3 linked regions of the Drosophila melanogaster genome follow. The protein of the gene in region 3 interacts with the protein of the main gene of each other region in a pairwise test. Each region holds a gene or a part of one and is shown on either strand. Other genes may lie near its edges.

Evidence for each region. Proteins that work in one complex are often made in the same cells at the same time.
Region 1: the proteins of Dyb (region 3) and dcma interact in a two-hybrid assay, tested with the Drosophila melanogaster proteins (one large-scale study listed by BioGRID).
Region 2: the proteins of Dyb (region 3) and CG15728 interact in a two-hybrid assay, tested with the Drosophila melanogaster proteins (one large-scale study listed by BioGRID).

The regions. Positions count from the first base shown.
Region 1 is NT_033779.5:4,692,699-4,697,886, forward strand, and holds the start of dcma (decima), read left to right. Parts: upstream 1-2,022; 5' UTR 2,023-2,293; intron 2,294-5,188.
Region 2 is NC_004354.4:12,622,183-12,629,111, forward strand, and holds CG15728 (uncharacterized protein), read left to right. Parts: upstream 1-2,109; 5' UTR 2,110-2,249; intron 2,250-4,910; exon of another isoform or gene 4,911-4,962; intron 4,963-5,033; 5' UTR 5,034-5,050; coding exon 5,051-5,182; intron 5,183-5,238; coding exon 5,239-5,430; intron 5,431-5,494; coding exon 5,495-6,067; 3' UTR 6,068-6,263; downstream 6,264-6,929. Other genes in the region: Aven (apoptosis and caspase activation inhibitor), read right to left, coding at 6,373-6,929.
Region 3 is NT_033778.4:12,435,147-12,440,474, forward strand, and holds the start of Dyb (dystrobrevin), read left to right. Parts: upstream 1-2,198; 5' UTR 2,199-2,243; coding exon of another isoform or gene 2,244-2,263; 5' UTR 2,264-2,744; intron 2,745-5,328. Other genes in the region: DUBAI (deubiquitinating apoptotic inhibitor), read right to left, coding at 1-135; Tmem18 (transmembrane protein 18), read left to right, coding at 1,051-1,110, 1,175-1,292, 1,368-1,516, 1,573-1,701.

The DNA.
Region 1 (5,188 bases), on a different chromosome or scaffold from region 3:
AAAAGTTTGTGCATGCAAATTTGACGATAAACTTGAACTAATTAAAAAGTTGCGCTAAAAAGTTGCATTAAGCCAGAGACCGCAAAGGTTGTGCACTATTTTTCCGCCAGAATGTTTTCTCATCTCGTTGGCTGCGTGGCGGGTGTGTTGACAAATTGACATATTGTGGCTACAGAAAGTTGCAGTTGTAAGTCGTTGCCATTTCTCTTGCAACATGTGGCACAGCGGGAGGTGTAATACTTGCGGCTAATTTCGAGTTTGTTGCTCTAAGCCCGAAGCATTTCGTATCTGGCTTCCTGGCCCTATGCTCAGCTCACACAAAACTGATGGCCACAGGATAAAACGGGGGCCCAAACAAAACCGCACACAAGCTACCAGCGGTTTACTTGCCCCTCAGCAATTGCTGTTCGAAAAAAAGTGGCACTGGATAAAAAGCATGTTGAACATTCTGTTCTGGCCAAAAACTGCGGGAGCTGCAGTTCAAGAAATACAGCCACTACTTGACTGGAGTTCAGTTAAAGCACACTTCGTGTTTACTATCAATAACTTATTTTATTTACTTTTAAAGTGCTTCTGCACACGTACGTTGGCTTAATCTTTATTTGTGGCTTATTTGCCTGGCTAGCGTGAGCTTTACATTGGCTTAGTTTAAACCTGCTTACCTTGTTATGTGATAAATCTTTTTTGCCAAAACTTTATCTTTACCGGTTTAAATGATAAAGAAGAAATGTTATGTAAAATGGAAAAAAAATATACAATATTTATTAATTAAGAGAATGAAATATTTCATAATTTTTATAAACTTTAATATATAAAACCGATATAAATTTTCAGTGATAGCAGCCACATATCGGGTATCACAGACTCGGGACTCGTTGGAGCATTTATTTTTTATAATTCACTTGAGCCTTGTTAAGACCGCTGGTAGAGCATGGCTAGCATGTGTGTGTTTATGGGCCACCACCTCATCATCAACTCGTGTCCGTTTCCGTGCCCCACACTTCTCGCACCACTTGCAACCACTTGAATTTGCTGCGGTTGTTGCTGCTGTTCGTATTTGCCATGCCATTTGCTGGAGAAATTTTTCTTGATTGCCTCGCCCCCAGCAGTTTGCTTGTTTTTCGCTTATGCGTCGTCATCTTTCCACATCCTTTTACCATTTTCCACGGGTTTTCCCTTTTCCGTATTTATTTTTTACTCTGCTTTTTGTTCTCCTGGCAGACAGTGATTTTGACATTTCACGCGCATTTGTTTGTTATGCTTCTCTGGCCAGCAGCATTGACAGCGCGGGAAAGGTCAACATTTCCCTTTATTTTTTTTTTTTTTGCATAAGTGCGTAAGGCCATGTATTCATAGAAATCGTAGTGGGCCATAATAAAAATAAGGACTGTGGTAGTGGCACGCAGGCTCATTAACATTTGCGAGGCACGTGGCGGGAATGACGCTAACTCAGTTGCTCCCCAGCGTCGCATTCGGCTTAGCCAAATTGATTTTCCGTCCTGCCAACAAAACAATCTGGCACAGCGAGAGAAAAACATAACAATATCAGCATCAGTCACATAACCATTGCCAGTTTTGCATAGCCTTTTCTGTTCATAAGCCAAGGGTTTTATGATCACCAGTTATCCGAATTTCGGCCAATTCGATTGCTCATTTTTATGTGGAAAATATTTATGAATCGATACGTTTATAAAATATAAAGCACATTTATAAATGCAATATCTTTATCTGAGGAACGGAGTCTTTTCTTTTCCGTTTCTAACTCATAAAAACTTAGGGCTTACTTTTTGCAAGGAATACATATTTATTTATGCACAGAATTTTTCTCTGTATTCCCAAAAGGGGAAATAAACATCAGACCAACACAGAATTCCACTCAAAACAATTATGAATGAATGGCCAGAAGAGCGCTCAAACCAGTTAACAGAGCAGCTGTTGCTGTCGAGTCTATGTTAACGCTTTCACTTGGCCAACAGCCGCAGCTTCTGGCAAGTATTCTGGCTTTTAGTCCCACAACAGACGTCGAGGCGAGAACACGCGGCCCAAAAGACGTGCGCATGTCAAGTTGCGAGCTGCGTTTGGTTTTCGATTCGAGCCACATGGCGTATACGCGATACGGTCTGTGCCACTGCCTGCATTGAGTACTGAGTCAATAATGGTCGGTGGTCAGTGCTGCGGCTTTAGTGCGTGCTGAGCTGAGTAGCAGATAATGTGTCAATAATTGAACTGGACAATCGGCATTGCTCGATCCAGTATGTGAATAGCCGACACTCAACTGGAAAGGAACTTCGATGTAAGCATAAATAGCACCCAGAAACTTTAAGTGTTGGTGTAGTAAAAGTGTGAACTTAAAGCATGTACCACTTTAACATGTCTGAAACATGCGTAGGAAACACAAGTTAACAATATTTTCTGCTTTCGACTAAGATAAAGAATTAGTCTTGTTGTTTAACACCAAAATCTGCTTTTATTTAAGAAAAAAAAACGACATCAGTCAAAGAGACAATAATTAAATTTCGAGACACAAAGGCCCCTTATTTCACTTAACCCAATCAATTAGATCAAATAAAATATCAATACAAAATAGATTAAAAGAGGGCGCAGCACCGAAGCAAGTCGAATAAATAAATGCAAATAAAATAAGTTCAAATCGGATCAGCAGAGTGACGTATTTAAATTTCACCAGGGGCAAATCGAGCCGCCACGTAGTTCGACATTCGAGCCGTCATAAGCCGGAATTCGGAGGGGATTGCATTAGGGAAGTTCTTACTTTCTGGTGCCGCTCGAATTTCCCCAGGGCACTTGGGATGCACGTGAGCTCTGTGCCGATGGATTTTCCATTCCGCATTCGCCCCGTTTTCCCGCTCCGATACACATTTTTTTGCGACGTTTGTCAACACCATTTGGCCTCTATTTGATTTGCATATTGCTACCTGTCTGGTTTTCCGAGAAGCCTGTGAACGTGCGTGAAAAGTAAACAGGGGATAGGATGGGCGAAACAAAAGGGACGGCAAACGTGATAAAATAGGTGGAAAAATAGCGGATAAAAAATGAAAACATTTGCCGGAAAACAAAGAAAATTATCTGACCAGATGCCCGGGCTGTCCGTTCTCTCTTCCCCGGGGGAAGAGTAAAGTTGTAATAAAAAATAAAAATAAAACCCGGGGGTCGCCAGTGACAAGTGACAGGTTGCTTGTTTGCCGGGCCGAATAATGTGGTCAGGTCCGTCTGATATGGCCGCCTAATTTGGGAGACGCTTTTATTGTTTGCCCACGGACATGGCGTCATTATCTGCTGGCATTTTTGTGCGCTCCCCATTTGTTTACACGCACTTTTAACGTGTTTATTCGGCCACAACGCAAACTAATTGAAACACACCGGGCGTATACTTATTGTAATGCCCGTGGGCGTGTCACGTTCCACGTGCAATCAGTGGCCGCCTTGAAATCCACTCGTCTGCAATTGCAGTGCACGCTGCACCCTATCACGCCCCCCATTTGCTCTTTGAGGCTTTCACTCGCAGGACCCACTGTCATTTGGCCCTCAATGCCAGCAGCTGAAAGCTGAAACAACAGCTCACTGCTTCCACTATCCGTAGTTCTCGCCCTCGTCCTCATCCTCGTCCTCATCCTCGTCCTCATCCTCGTCCTCGTCATCATCATCATCGCCATCCGCCGTAGTCGCGGGTACGACATATTCGCTCAGCGGTTCACGCCGAGGTTGAGGTTGAGCCGAGCCAAGTGAGTAAGTGAGTGAGTGAGTGCCAGGAGCGGCAACTTGTTTACCTGCCTGTGTTTTAATGAAATGCAAATGCAAACACAGCCGTGAAGCACCATGGGCTCCATAGGCTCAAAGTGGGCCAAAAATAGGTGAAGGATTAACAGCTAGCGGAATCCATTACCGACTCTGTATTTTTGATATTTTATTAACACCTACACAAAATTACATTGAAAACAATTTCTTTTAGAGACCACAATTCAAAAATAAGTATAAACGCAACGAGATAAGCTTGAATATTTAAAAGCAAAGGCAATTCATTATTAAATAGTTTTGAGTTTTATTTGCATACAACCTTGCGGATTTTCATTTAAGTTAAAAACACAGAGCACACACATCAATTTAAGTGGCGGATGTTGTGATTGGTTAGCTGTATAAATTTGAAACAGCAGTGTTTGTTTTCATAAGCCCGCTCGATGGCTTCGCAAGATTGATTGCATCCAGAGAATAGATCGAAATAGACCTCCGAATGTGAACGTAAACACGCCACAGTGCCCACCTGTATCCGCCAGGTAATTTTTCCTGGCCCTCTGCAATGGCACTTAGCGGTAATGGGGTTACTGCCAAGGAGCCGCACTCGCTTGAGAATGTCCCTGATTTTGTACGCAAACACTTCAATTTCCGTGACAGATGACAATTTGCCACAATTGCACATTGCAGTGCAATTAGATTTAGTAAATTTTTAACTCCCATTTGGCCGGCATTAGATTCGTATGTAACACAATTTCATTCATGCCAGTTGGTATTGGCCATCTTGTCCTGCATTCGCATAAATAAATTGGCAAAAGATTCCTTTACGGCCAAGTGGGATGATCTTTAGCCAGCAGCTGGGTCTTAAGTTCACATTGGCACCGGGGTCGTAAAAGCGGATCTAAGCGCCATTTCAAAATTGCCTGGGATTGACCGCCATCGCGCTGGATTTTGACTTAAAGTGCCATTCGGATATGCATTAAATTTATGGCAATACATTAAACTAAATACTCCTCATCGAAGCTATCAAAGGTGCCGCAGCGGAAATTGAACGTGACAAACTTATGAAAAGCGCTAAAACATGTTGGCCTAAGCGGCTTTTTATGACAGATACTCAATTTCCTAATGGCACCGGTGGACGCAACCGAGGTTGGTAAAAAAAGCAACCAGATTTGTATCTAAATATTGGCATGCCATGCTCGACAAGTTTAAAGTTTTAATTAAACAAGTACGACGAGGCTAATTACTGCATTATGATAAACAAAACAGAAAGAGCACTTTAGACTTTCAGCTAACTTTGTAATAATGTCCAGGATATTAAGCTAGAGATAAATATTATTGTGCACTTAAAGTTAAATACACATTAAAGTTACTTGCGCATTGAGTTTTAAGCCCAAGTCAAGTCAAACCGTCAAGGATAACGTCAAATACTTGTGTCCTT
Region 2 (6,929 bases), on a different chromosome or scaffold from region 3:
CAGACAAATACTATGAAAAAATATTAAAAAAAAAAAATTAACTAGCGTAGATATATAAGAATTATTTTGCTTATTCAGTTCTTTCCATCGAGGATCGTCTGTAGCTACAGTTATATTTTCATGCCCATTTAGCTCGCTACACAAAAAGGAGGAGAAATGTTTAGCCACAAATTGAATCTGCGGTGAGTGAGTTAACGAGCGAGAGAGAGGTCTAGATGGATATAGTATAACCATGCCATAGTGTATGCCATACCATAGGACACCAGCTAACGCCAACCCAACCCAAGCCAACCCAACGAGGATATGGCATGATGATATAGGGGCAGACGACGTGGAACGGGTAGTAGTTTTCAAGTGGTGCAGAGCGGCACAGAACGCTAATTAAAAAGATACTTGATGGGAGCCACCGGAAACAAAACGGAAAAGCCAAAGAAGCGAGGCGGGCAATGCGAAAAAATGCGGGAAAAATGGCTGAAATGCGAATGAAAGGCAAAGGCGAATGGGATGGCAAGCAAGTTAACGTTGCCATGAAATCGTCTATGAAATGTGAATGTAATCTAATGAATAAAATGCATCTGCTAACCCCCATCATGCCAGCCACTTGCAGATACAGATAGATGATGGATGATTCTTTCACCGGTTTCCTTCGCGTTTTTTTTTTTTTTTTTTGATACCGCAAATTCTCACATTCATGCGGTTCATTTGCGCAGCCATTGAGATTTGAATGGCATTTTTAATTGGTACATTTTACGCAGCCATCCTTTGAGCACAAAGGCACCTCCTGCTCCACCAGCCCTTCTCCTTTGAGCTGGCCATCATTCAATTTGATTTGTATTTATTTAATGAGTTATTAATTGCATTAAGCTCTCGGCGTTGGAGAACTTTGCAACTAAAAAAAAAAAGGAATAAAGCCGGGAGAGTGGGGAAAAGTTTTTCGGCTTTTGCTCGCATTCAGGCTGAAAACTACGAAACTAAAGAGTTCGTACAATTTGCAGCTTTGAAAAAAAAACAACAGAAAATGCTAGTGCCAAAAGTGTAGCATACTTTTCTGCGCACTTTTGCCTGTGATTATGAATTTGGGTTTGGCCGACTAAAGAGGCGCGAGAACTTCAAGACTAGCCAAAACTATTAGCAAATCTAAATCTAAATTATATTTCCAAATTCCAAATTCCATCTTTCCATCTTACATTTGTTGCCTCTGTTACTTCATACATTTAAAATGGTAAGCAGCCCACGTAACATAAAATTATATTATATATATATATATAAATAAGTAAATAAATAGCAAGGTGTCAGAAATACAACATAAATATTCTTGAGATCTAAACAAATTGGACTTGTTAAAGTAATGATTGTTTTGGGCCGCATAAGTATTGTAAAATAATAAAGTTACCACAGAAGGCACTTGACTTTGGCCATGAATGTACTCACTTTACTCACAGGGGAGGAACTGTCAGTTACTCCCTGCCATTATATACCAATTTCAATTTAAATTCCAGCCTGCTGTGGCCCATCCGCGGGGCAGAAACAAAAATATATATATATGCATGTATATAAAAATAAAGGAAAAAAAATAGAAGTGAAGTTCGGAGAAACCGCAACAGCAATTCTCGACATAATGATTGTGTTGAGGGGCGATTATGTCATCATGGATGGGCAGGGCAAAAGGACTCGACACACTTGACTTCCGGTTGGAGGATGGCTGCGAGATGTTTGCCATATTGTGTGAAAATTTGTGTTTTCCCCCGTCCACTGCAATTGGCGGTGGTGGTTTCTCGTCTCGTTTTTGTGATTAAAAATGTTTGTCATTATCCGCTTGGAAAATCGTCCGAAATTGTGTTTGTGCCGCGGGCCGTGCCACACTTGCTTATTTCAAATCTGGCATCTTTATGCCTAATTGCCGCATTGTGTCCCATTGTGCGGCCATCGAACCTGTGGATTGAATCGAATCGGATCGAATCGAATCGAATCGTCTCACAGTCTCAGCCTCGAACCCCGACTGAGCCATACAGGTTGCCTCTGGCTAAGAGTCCATGGCTAAGGGAAAGCCACTGACTATGGCTTTCCATCGATCAGTTGCAATTTGTTGCAAAAGCGAATAGTGGTCAGCGGAATAAAAAAGATACCCATTGAAATATTAGTGAGCTCCTTGATAATTTGCTAATAATTGACGAGGAAGTGAGAAGTAATTTCATTGTACAAGTGAAGTATTCTTCCGCCAAGCTAAACATTTCATACAAAACGTACAGGTATGTCCAGTTTTAATTACATTCATTACGATTCCTGCCCCTTTTGTATATAAACTTTGAGATCCCCATCCATGGGGATGAACTTTATGAGACTCCTGAGCTCCTCGAACTGCATCTAGATATTTTAGAATTTTTGTATCTTTTCGTTTGATTGCTAATGATATAGTGAATCTCAAAGCATTCTCGCTTGTGCCCACCAGGAGCATATTGATCTCAAGGATTCGCTTGAACTTCTGGCACTGATCAAAAAGATCCCAAAGCTTTCTTTTTTGAGTTTTTCTTTGGTGCAATTTCCAGGTCATCACTCTCTTTCACGCTCCTAAGCTCCTAGAACTATCTATATCTATATATTTGGAAATTTATGTATATCTTTTTTTTATTGCTAATGATATAGTTATTAGAGCATATTGATCTTAAGGTCAAAAATAGTCCTAAGCTGTTTAAATAAAGGTTAAAGTTGGCCACAGCACTTACATATACATACATACAGGAAACTCTGTAAAACATGAAATTCTTTATTACTTGGGCACTTTTTCTTCATTACCCCCATCTTGCAAATTCTTTAAAACTGTTTCTAGTTACACAACGCATATAATTAATAGAAAATCAATATGTTTACCTTACCGAAAGAAATTCGCTTAGTATCATCAGGGCCGACAGAAATATTAGACTTATTTTCTTTGCAAGGGTCTATTCGATTTCTTATGTCGCGTCTTGCAAAAGTGGCTAATTCTCAGATGACATTTCGTGATAATTGGTGGGTGGAACGGTTTGGATTCCACTTGCACTGTGGCTATCATTTGTATACATACATCATACTTTCCAATTGTGTAAACAACAACTTCATTAGTAAACAAAAAGTTCGCTGGGTGGTTACAGAACGCAAATCCTAAGCCCGAAAACCGATTCCCTTTCAAATGCCACAAATCAGTAAATAATGACATGAAAATCTGTTGGCTTTTGTCAGGCCCCGCGGCCTCGAAGACCGAAAAATGAAAAAGTTAGTTGGATGGGGGAGGGTTTTCGGTTGCAAAAGTGTTGAGACAAGTGGGGTGGACAATTTGCCTTAAATTAGGCGTAAAATGCACAGATTGGTTACAACAAACAGCGCACACAAGCGGCTCATCAGTTCGGTCCACCCTCAAAAATTAAAGGGTAGCTACTTGCCACTTGTCATCACCATCTTGATTATTATTATCATCGCCATCCGACGGGAACCGGATATGATTGTTAGTATCTATTAGCACAGTTGAACCTCCAAATGATGGTTCCATAAATAATAATACCAGTCTTGTCATTTTTTTTTTTAAGTAAGATAAATAACTACAGTAAAATTTTTCTTATGATGAGCAAAAATACTCAAATGGAAAATGTAAACATCTTTTCAATCTTGTAGTAAAATAAAAATGTAAGCATCTTTTCCACTTACGGATGTTTGACTGTAATTGGCCTGGTCTGCGTTTCCCGTTCAACTTGCTGAACAACCCTCGCTAATTGAGCACTTTTGTTGCGTTTAATAGAGGGGGATTCTTGGGTTTTTACACTTGACGTAGATTTTTAGCTGGACGCTGATATAATAGATCATATTATGCTATAGATGTTCCCAGTTGATTAGCATACAATCGCTTCGCAAGCAGTGGCAGCTAAATTGAGGTTATGTTTGCAAGCAGTTCAGAAAGAGAGGGTTATATGTTGCCTACCCCTTTGCCATTTAAATTTGATCAACAAATACATGTGCATAATTAAAAACAAAAAGGAGAGCATAACACACACACACACACACACAGAGAGATTGCAAAAAAGTTGTTAATCTTTTCATGCCGACGCATAATTAAAATGTGAATATGGAAATTTCAATAGGAATCTGTGCAAAAAATGCCCCAAAAAAATAAAGGGGGCGATAAAAAAGCAGAAGAGCAGAAAGAAAAGACCAAGCAAAGGACGCACAAACACACACACACACACAGAAACTTAACGGTTTCCTGCTGTTATGGCCATCTTGCTTGCACCTCTTGCGCTTTTTACCGCCAGTTCGTTTGCGTGCGTGTGTGTGTGTGTGAAAGCAAGTAATTGCGAAATATGAAATATGAATGCATAATGAGCAGATATTCGCCAAGTGTGCAAGAAACTTGAAGCGGCGATGGGCGTGGCAGGTGGAAAAGTGGGAGTCGGAAACGGAGGCCAGGTGACTTTTATGCTAAAATGCGCACATCGCGCGTGCATTTGCATTTTGCCAGCCTTTTCGAAAGCAGTGCAAGGACAAGCACAAATACACACAAACAAAGGCGGGCACACACACAGGCAGGAAAAATCATAACTACAGTAAGCGTCCGATAGCAGCGACTCCTCTAAGTCCTTCAATTTTATGCGATTCAACTAGAAGTTCAACACAAAAGTGTATTTTGTCTAAAAATGAACATAACTATATAATTATAATATTTTAATATATTATTACAAAAAATTAATTTTAAATCATGGAAGATGTACATAGGTTCAAGGTTCATGAATTCAAATCAAAAGCTTCATAGTTAATTCCTAGACTTTTCAATTAAAAGTACCCACTTGCTGATTTCACTGTACTCGGCTTGGCCAAGATGGCAGCCAAGTGTGTTTGAAAAACATGTCAAAATGTTGTGGAGCTCATTAAAATAGCGTTGGCTATTTGCACACATCATATCTTTCAGTCACTAATTTGTAGAAGGAGGAGGAGAAGGTGAAGCAGCAGCAAATCCTTGAAGGCGCCTTTTCCCTGTTCAAAAGTAATGCATAACTCCCTTTTTCCAGCTTTTTCCTCAGATAAAATGGCAGAATACAACATGAGCCACATGGTGCGACCCCAGGGATTCAGTTTGGAAGAGCTGCGTCAGACTATGAGTCGATCGGCGATTCGGGAACAATGCTACTTTATTTATGCCACCGGCAATATTCTGGAGGTGATCCATATTCATATCATAATCACATTATCTAATTTATTCACATGTTCCGTTAGATTATATCTGGTTTTGATGAACTGCTCAACCAGGAGGGGATCCAATTCGGAGCAGATAAACTGGCTGCGGTGTATGTATGCGGTTTGATGGTTTATCTACTCCATCATGAGGACACGTCGGCCACCCAGGTGAAAAGAACTCTTTTCCTGCAAAAGTGCTTCAATTATATGGCATGCTCCGAGGAAAGCCATGTGAGTAAGCATATATATGTTTGAAATATATATTTTTTGATCCTTCCCTTTCTTTGCCCAACAGATCCACCAGGTATGCGTCCATGTCCTGGGTCTCTTGGATATCCAGAGTTCGAGCACAATGCTCAACCTGATCCTCGGCTGCCGCGTGGCCAGTCCGCTGTGCACAATGGCCAGCGTTGTGGCTAACTGTCTGCTCTGGGCCATGTTGGATCATATGTCGGACTTGGGCCTGGACTTGCACCGATTGCGTCCGGCTAACACACTGCTGCTCGTCGTTGCCGTGGTGAAGCCGCATATTTATGTAATATCCTATTTGCATTCCCTGCACCTGGTGGTCCGTTTGATATCCAGCATCCTGCTGATCGGACCATTCAATGCCCAGGGCCAGCAACTGTGCCAGGAGACCGATGTGCCGGAGGATTATATGAAACTGGCCAGGGACGATTGTTCGATATTAGTTCGCTGGCTAATCGCGATCGTTGATGAGCTGCGTCCGCTGATGGTGGAGAACAACGATTTGGGGCATCTGCATGAGCGCCTGGTGCTTTTGGAGTCCATATGTGAGCTTATGCAGCTCTTGCATGGCCATTTGGTTAAGTGTTACCAAGGCAAAAGTGGACCACAATGTAAGTAATAGCGAACGGAAACAAAGAAATCTGTTATAAATTCAGATACTTTGATGAGAAGAGAATTGAAATCTTCAATAACTTAACCTAACCTTTGAAACTTATTTCAAGAAACAATCGCATCGTATATATATGCAATCAACGATTTTATTATACACAATAAAAAGGCTCTAGCTTTAACTATAAAGTTACGAGGAAAACTCTAGATTTTGCAATTTTAATGATGCTACTTCTAAAAATGCAAGCACTTAGTGATTTGAATATTTCGTGTAAGCGTAAAAAGCTCTGGTAATAGTCCTCCTGAACTATGTAACTATTCATCCAAAACGGAATCCAGCCATTCCTCCACACCGTTTTTGCTTGCTGCCGATGAGGGTGTGGCCGGCTGCACCATAGGCATTGGCATCGTAATGGTTCCAGAGCCTATATCCAGTTGCGTATCGGTCATGGCCAATAGCTCGTCAAGTTCATCAGGTTCAGCTGCTGAGGCAGCAATTGGTTTTTCCGCCGCTGCAGGGGCAACGTCCTTATTGGACTTAGCAGAGGGAGCTCGCGACTTGGCGCCCCCATTGGCGTCCTTCAGAATGCACTGCTGGTAAACTGCCTCAGCCCGTTCGGCGGCCTTCTCTTGGGCGGCAATCTGAGCGCGGGTGAACAAAGACGCCGGATAATCCATACGCTTGTATAACGGAATCGTTTGCAGACCCACATTTAGGCGGGTGAGGTTCAGGGTGAAGTAAGCACTGGCAGCCTTGGTGTGTAGCTTGGTCTGGCCCTCGGCCACGTTGGCCCATTCGCGCTCTGACCCAAAGGTGAAGTGGCCGCCACCGAGGCTGGGAAACTGGGCCAGCTGCTGGAAATCGCCAGCTC
Region 3 (5,328 bases):
CAATACGTTCTCTTCGGCATTCGCCATTCCGTTCGCGGACATGGGTTTGGCGTTGGGCGGAATGCCGTTGCCAGCTCCTCCGGCATTATCCGAGGCATTATCACCCGCCTCGCTGTTATTCTGCTTAACGGCCATTTCGCGTTTCAATCGCTTGGCGTGGGCGTGGACGTGAGTGGCACAAAGGCTTGCGGACCACAGGGCCGACTGGAACTTCCAGTTGCCGATGGGCGGAGGCGTGGGCTTGCCTAGCGCCCGAACACAGCGGCTTTTTCGTTGCCTGCGACTCTGAGCGAGGAGTCTGAGCCGCGTGTCCTTGAACCGCGCTCCGTTACGTGTCGTCGTTACGATTTGACTGCGACCTTTCAACGGGTCTCGAGTGCGCCTCGATCCCTGCCCGATCCTGGCCAGAAACTCCCGCCACAAGCGCTTTAGAACAGAGTCCTAGACGAGTGTGGTGCACGGTAGGGTCGGTGGCCCGTGCCACATCTAAGGCGCCCCTTTTTTCGGATTACCCTGCTCGGCTTTAGCTTCGATTGCTTGCTCACACGTCGCCCGTTCGACTTAATAACCCGAATAGATTTGATTCGCCCTAAAAACTACAATTTTGACTGTTTTAAAACGAATTCTTTGTGATATTTTTCGGATTTGTTAATGTTGTCTACTGAGTCAGTGAAAGCGTTATCGACACGTTCAGACTGAATGACGGGCAGGGCGACTCTGCACGACAAGTCGGGGTGGGTGAGAATGAGGTGGCACAAAATTTGTAATTGCATTTATATGGTGAGTAATACATACTAAACGAAATAATAGTATTTTGATTTATGTTGTTATATTTAGCCCATAAAATAGTAAGTTAGGTCTTACAAACAGCGCTACCAGATCCAGTCAAAATTGAGGAAGCCTGAACGTCTATAGGCCTCCCAAAATGGCGTTGCCATGAAAAATGACAGCTGTTCGCTGCGAATGGCTATTTATGTTTGTTTTGACTCGGCTTTCGAATATATCGCAAAATATATACAGGAAACATTTATATTCACAAAAATCTGTACGATGCACCCAGGGCAAATTGAGGTCAACGAGATCAATGGCTATTGGACATTTCTGCTGAGCGTAAGATACTCGCCTATATACAATCAAAAATCAAGAATCCGGCAAGTTGTCACTATTTTTGCAGATCGATTGGAAGGATCCCTGGCTTATTGGCCTTATTTTGGCGCATATCTTAACCACCACCACTGCGCTGCTCAGCCGGAACAGCTCCAACTTCCAGGTTTTCCTCTTCCTAGTACTGTGTACGTGGACTTGGCGGCTTCCTTGACTTACCCGATAAATGACTCTGATTTTTGCATGTGCTTCATCTTCCTCAGTGCTGGCAGTCTACTTCACCGAAAGCATCAATGAGTTCGCTGCTAACAACTGGAGTTCCTTTTCCAGACAACAATACTTCGATAGCAACGGCCTGTTTATCTCGACAGTTTTCTCAATACCTATTTTGCTTAATTGCATGCTTTTGATTGTAAGTTATAGTGTTTCCACTGCATGAAGTGTGTATTTATCTTTGCTTATTTGCAGGGCACTTGGCTCTACAACTCCACGCAGCTGATGGTGACTCTAAAAACAGCGCAGCTCAAGGAGCGAGCTCGCAAGGAACGCCAGACTAAGGCGGATTCGGAATCCATAGCACATAAAAAGGCAGAGTAGAACTTACGCCTGTATTACATGCAGTTAAAAGCACAAGTAGAGCTGTGAAATTATATGTTATGCTTTAAATGGATTTTCCTGTCATCTAGATGTAGTTTGCTGCACAGCTCTCGTCTTTAAAATAAATTTAATTTAGTATAATCAAACTTATAGAATTTGTAAATTTAGGCTATTTTTACATCCTGTTTTACTTAGCGAAGTTACAAACCTAACATGCCCTTCATATTAAGCAAAAAATCACACCAGTTACCGTTGCCACCTTGGTAAAGCAGTTTTTACTGCCACCTAAAATTTTCTATATATATCACGTAATATGAACTATTTTGATATTTTTGACGAAATTAACATTATAGATCCAATCAGCTTATTGCCTGTATCAATTTCTGATCTGTGTGCCAAGACTGTAATTTCAAATTAGAAGCTCGTTGGACCTGTGTCATTTTTTAGTACGAATTCAATTGGGAGCCCTTCGTCGTCTGGTAACACTGTCCAACGATTTTGTTGTTGCTGGCTTGTGGGTGTCGAAGCAGTGTCGCGGCGCAATGTTGGAAGTGGTTTTTGGGTAAACAAAATCCGTTGATAAGATATTCGCACGGAGCTAATCGCAAATCGCGCTGCGTATTTACCGTTGGCAAGCCAGAAAAAAGTTTTGCATAGCATTGCGGTTTAAAGCCAGGCTCAAAATTCCTGCGAGCTCGCTTGTGTGTGTGCGTTTTTGCCGTCGGTGTGTATGTGTTTTGAGCCCATAAGCGTAGCCCGAAAAAAAGAAGTTTTTCTGTTACCATATTTTTTACCAAAGGCCAAAAGGGCGCAGCATCTTCGCTCTCTATCTCGGCGCTGCATCTTGCTCTCTCGTTCGCTAACGCGAGTTTGGCAACTCCGTTTACCGTTCATCGTTTATTGTGTGTAAACAGCAGGTGAAAATAAAACGCGATAAGTGCAGAGAAACAGGAGAAGGAGGAGAAAGAGCAGCAAGAAGAAGCAGCAACTCCGCGCAGCCCAACAAAAAGTGACGTATTAAAAAAGGTTGCTAATTACAAAAGGTAAACAACAAATAATGTGCGGATTATATTACCAAATTCCCGGGCATAAACAATACCAATAAAATGTTGCTAAGATTGCCCTTCCACCCCCCTCACTTACCCACTGAAATGCGTAGTAGATTTCCGCGATAGGAAAACTCGGATGAGTGACGCGTTGGCGACGCAGCGCACAGTGTTCATTCATAAAAAGTGTCTGCCCCCCTGCGCCCACTCCCAAAACACTCCCCCCTCCCCTCCACACTTTGAACCAAGCCTGTTTGTGGTTGCGCCTGGAATTTAGTTTACAACTAAATATGTTTGCGGGCAGCTAGGAGGAAAGTTCGGATTTGGTTGTTTTTGCTATGTGGGAAACCATAGTTAAACTATTTGCATTCCGTTGGAAAGTCTAGTGGTTCACGCCACGCCCCATGTTCGCTCGTTCACGAAATTATGAAATTGTGTAAATTATATTAAAAAGCTTAACGGGTATATTGATATCTCCTCTATAATACTTCATACAAGATAAGTTTAAGGAACTGAAATGTTTGAAGTTTTAATGAATTTCCTTAACTATTGCGTCTGGTTGACATCCAAGTTCGCATAGTTGAAAAATTCCATATCAAACTGAGCCGCATGCCTTAATAACTAGACCTTTTGCTCATTGAGATTAGATCACATACCGCCATATGGCAGTCGGTGAAATGATTAGCTCAGCGAATAATTAAGCGTCGTGCGAATGAAAAGTCACACACACACACACTGCAACTTGGTGTTTAGATTAGAGCATTTTGTATCTTAGCCCACCTTTGGCAATCGGTGATATCGAATAGCAGGAAAAACAATAATACGGAATTTATGGTCAGCGTGTCGCCAAAATGCCAAAGTCAAGCGAAATAAATACATAGAAATAATGAAAGAAAAAAAACAATCAAAATAACTCGGTGACATCATTTTGACTAATCGCCAATTTTAGCATTTGAAAAACGGCGGCTGCTCGCCCGGCCCACCAACAAGCGCGCGAAGGTGCGAAGGAGAGAGTCCACCAGGGAGGGGGCTGCGAGCGAGTGCGGGAGTGGGAGCGAGAATGAGAGGGGGAACACTCGTGGCAGGTGCGCCAAGCCGAAGTTCAAAACGAAGCTCAAACCCGAATGCCAAGCGGCATTCCGAACCACCTACAAGTCGGCAAGTAAAATGGATCGAATGCTCTTGCGATATCAGCGAGTTTCACTTTCGAGCCCCTCATCTATACACGAATACTATCTGCAATCGGAACAATCACTAGATAATCCCACGATCCAACATTAAGCGCATTGCTTTTATCACAGGTATTAAATCAAAGCCATGCATTTGGAAAAGTGCGCTTGCCATTTGCCAAATTTAAGTGGCTTTAATTGGCTGGTTTTTACGACTCATTGGCATTATGACGATCTTTAAATTTTACGATTAAATGCATAAATCAGGTGTTGAAGTGTAGTGCAAGTGGTTGCTACATATACCCCTACATAAATAGAATCACTCCAGAAAAATATGGCATTCAAGTTGAGTTAACTACTGGCTTGTATTGTAAGCTAAGAAATTGTTAAGTGGTAGCTATTCTCAAAAGCTTGCGCACAGGGGTGCCTTTCTTTAACTCATTATTATATCCATTTATATCCATTACGATCAAATATTCGTTATATATGGAAAATTGCCTAGCCTACCGTGACTCTATTGCCTGCCTGTTGATATTTCCCCCGCGGCAACTTCGATCCGATGCAATTAACTCGAACATATTGTGGCTCATTACGAGGGGCATTCCAATCTGAAGACGAAGCGACTCGATCTAGTTCACAGATACAGAGCTGCATACACGCATCCCACTGGTTATTTCGGTTAATTTTGATGTGTGCTGCTAAGAGCCGAGAGTGCAGAGGACTAGGCACCACTGCTCCACATCCCCAGATATTTCCGACACTACGTGCGCTGCGATGCGACGTGTCGACCGGGTGGGTGGAAATTTGGAAATGTTGTGAAAAGCTAAATGAGGCGTGACACGAAAAAGAAGGCAGAGGGGAAAAAAGAGCAAAGCGACAAACACGCAGAGCAGCATGGAAAAAAAAAGAAAAAAACAAACAAACAAACAGAGCTGAGTGCGGCCACCCACAACATGACAGCCGCCACAACAATGGCCATAGTAGCGTCGAGGAGCAGAACGAGAACGTGGTGCCCACCAAATCTAGCCACGGAGTAATTTCGGCCTAGAAAACAAAGAAAACGAAGAAAACTGCCCAGTTGTCTGCGGAAAAGACAAAGGAAGAATGGAAAACCAAGAGAGCGGAATGAAAAAGGGGGACCAATTCCGCACAAGGCGCACAATTAACCCTTTCTTTGAAGTCAGCGGCGAATGTATCCACTGTCCACTTTCCACTGGGCTTTAATTAGTTTATGGAACAAGCGTCCCGGCTCGGCTAACTGCAATAAAATTAATCGTTTATGCTGTAATCGCATTTAGCGGCGCCGACCTCCTTTCCACTCCTCTCCTCCCTACTCCTCTCCACACCGGATTCTGGCCCGGATTTCCACACCCGCAGTGGCCTCGTTTGATGTATGGGATGTACATACATTT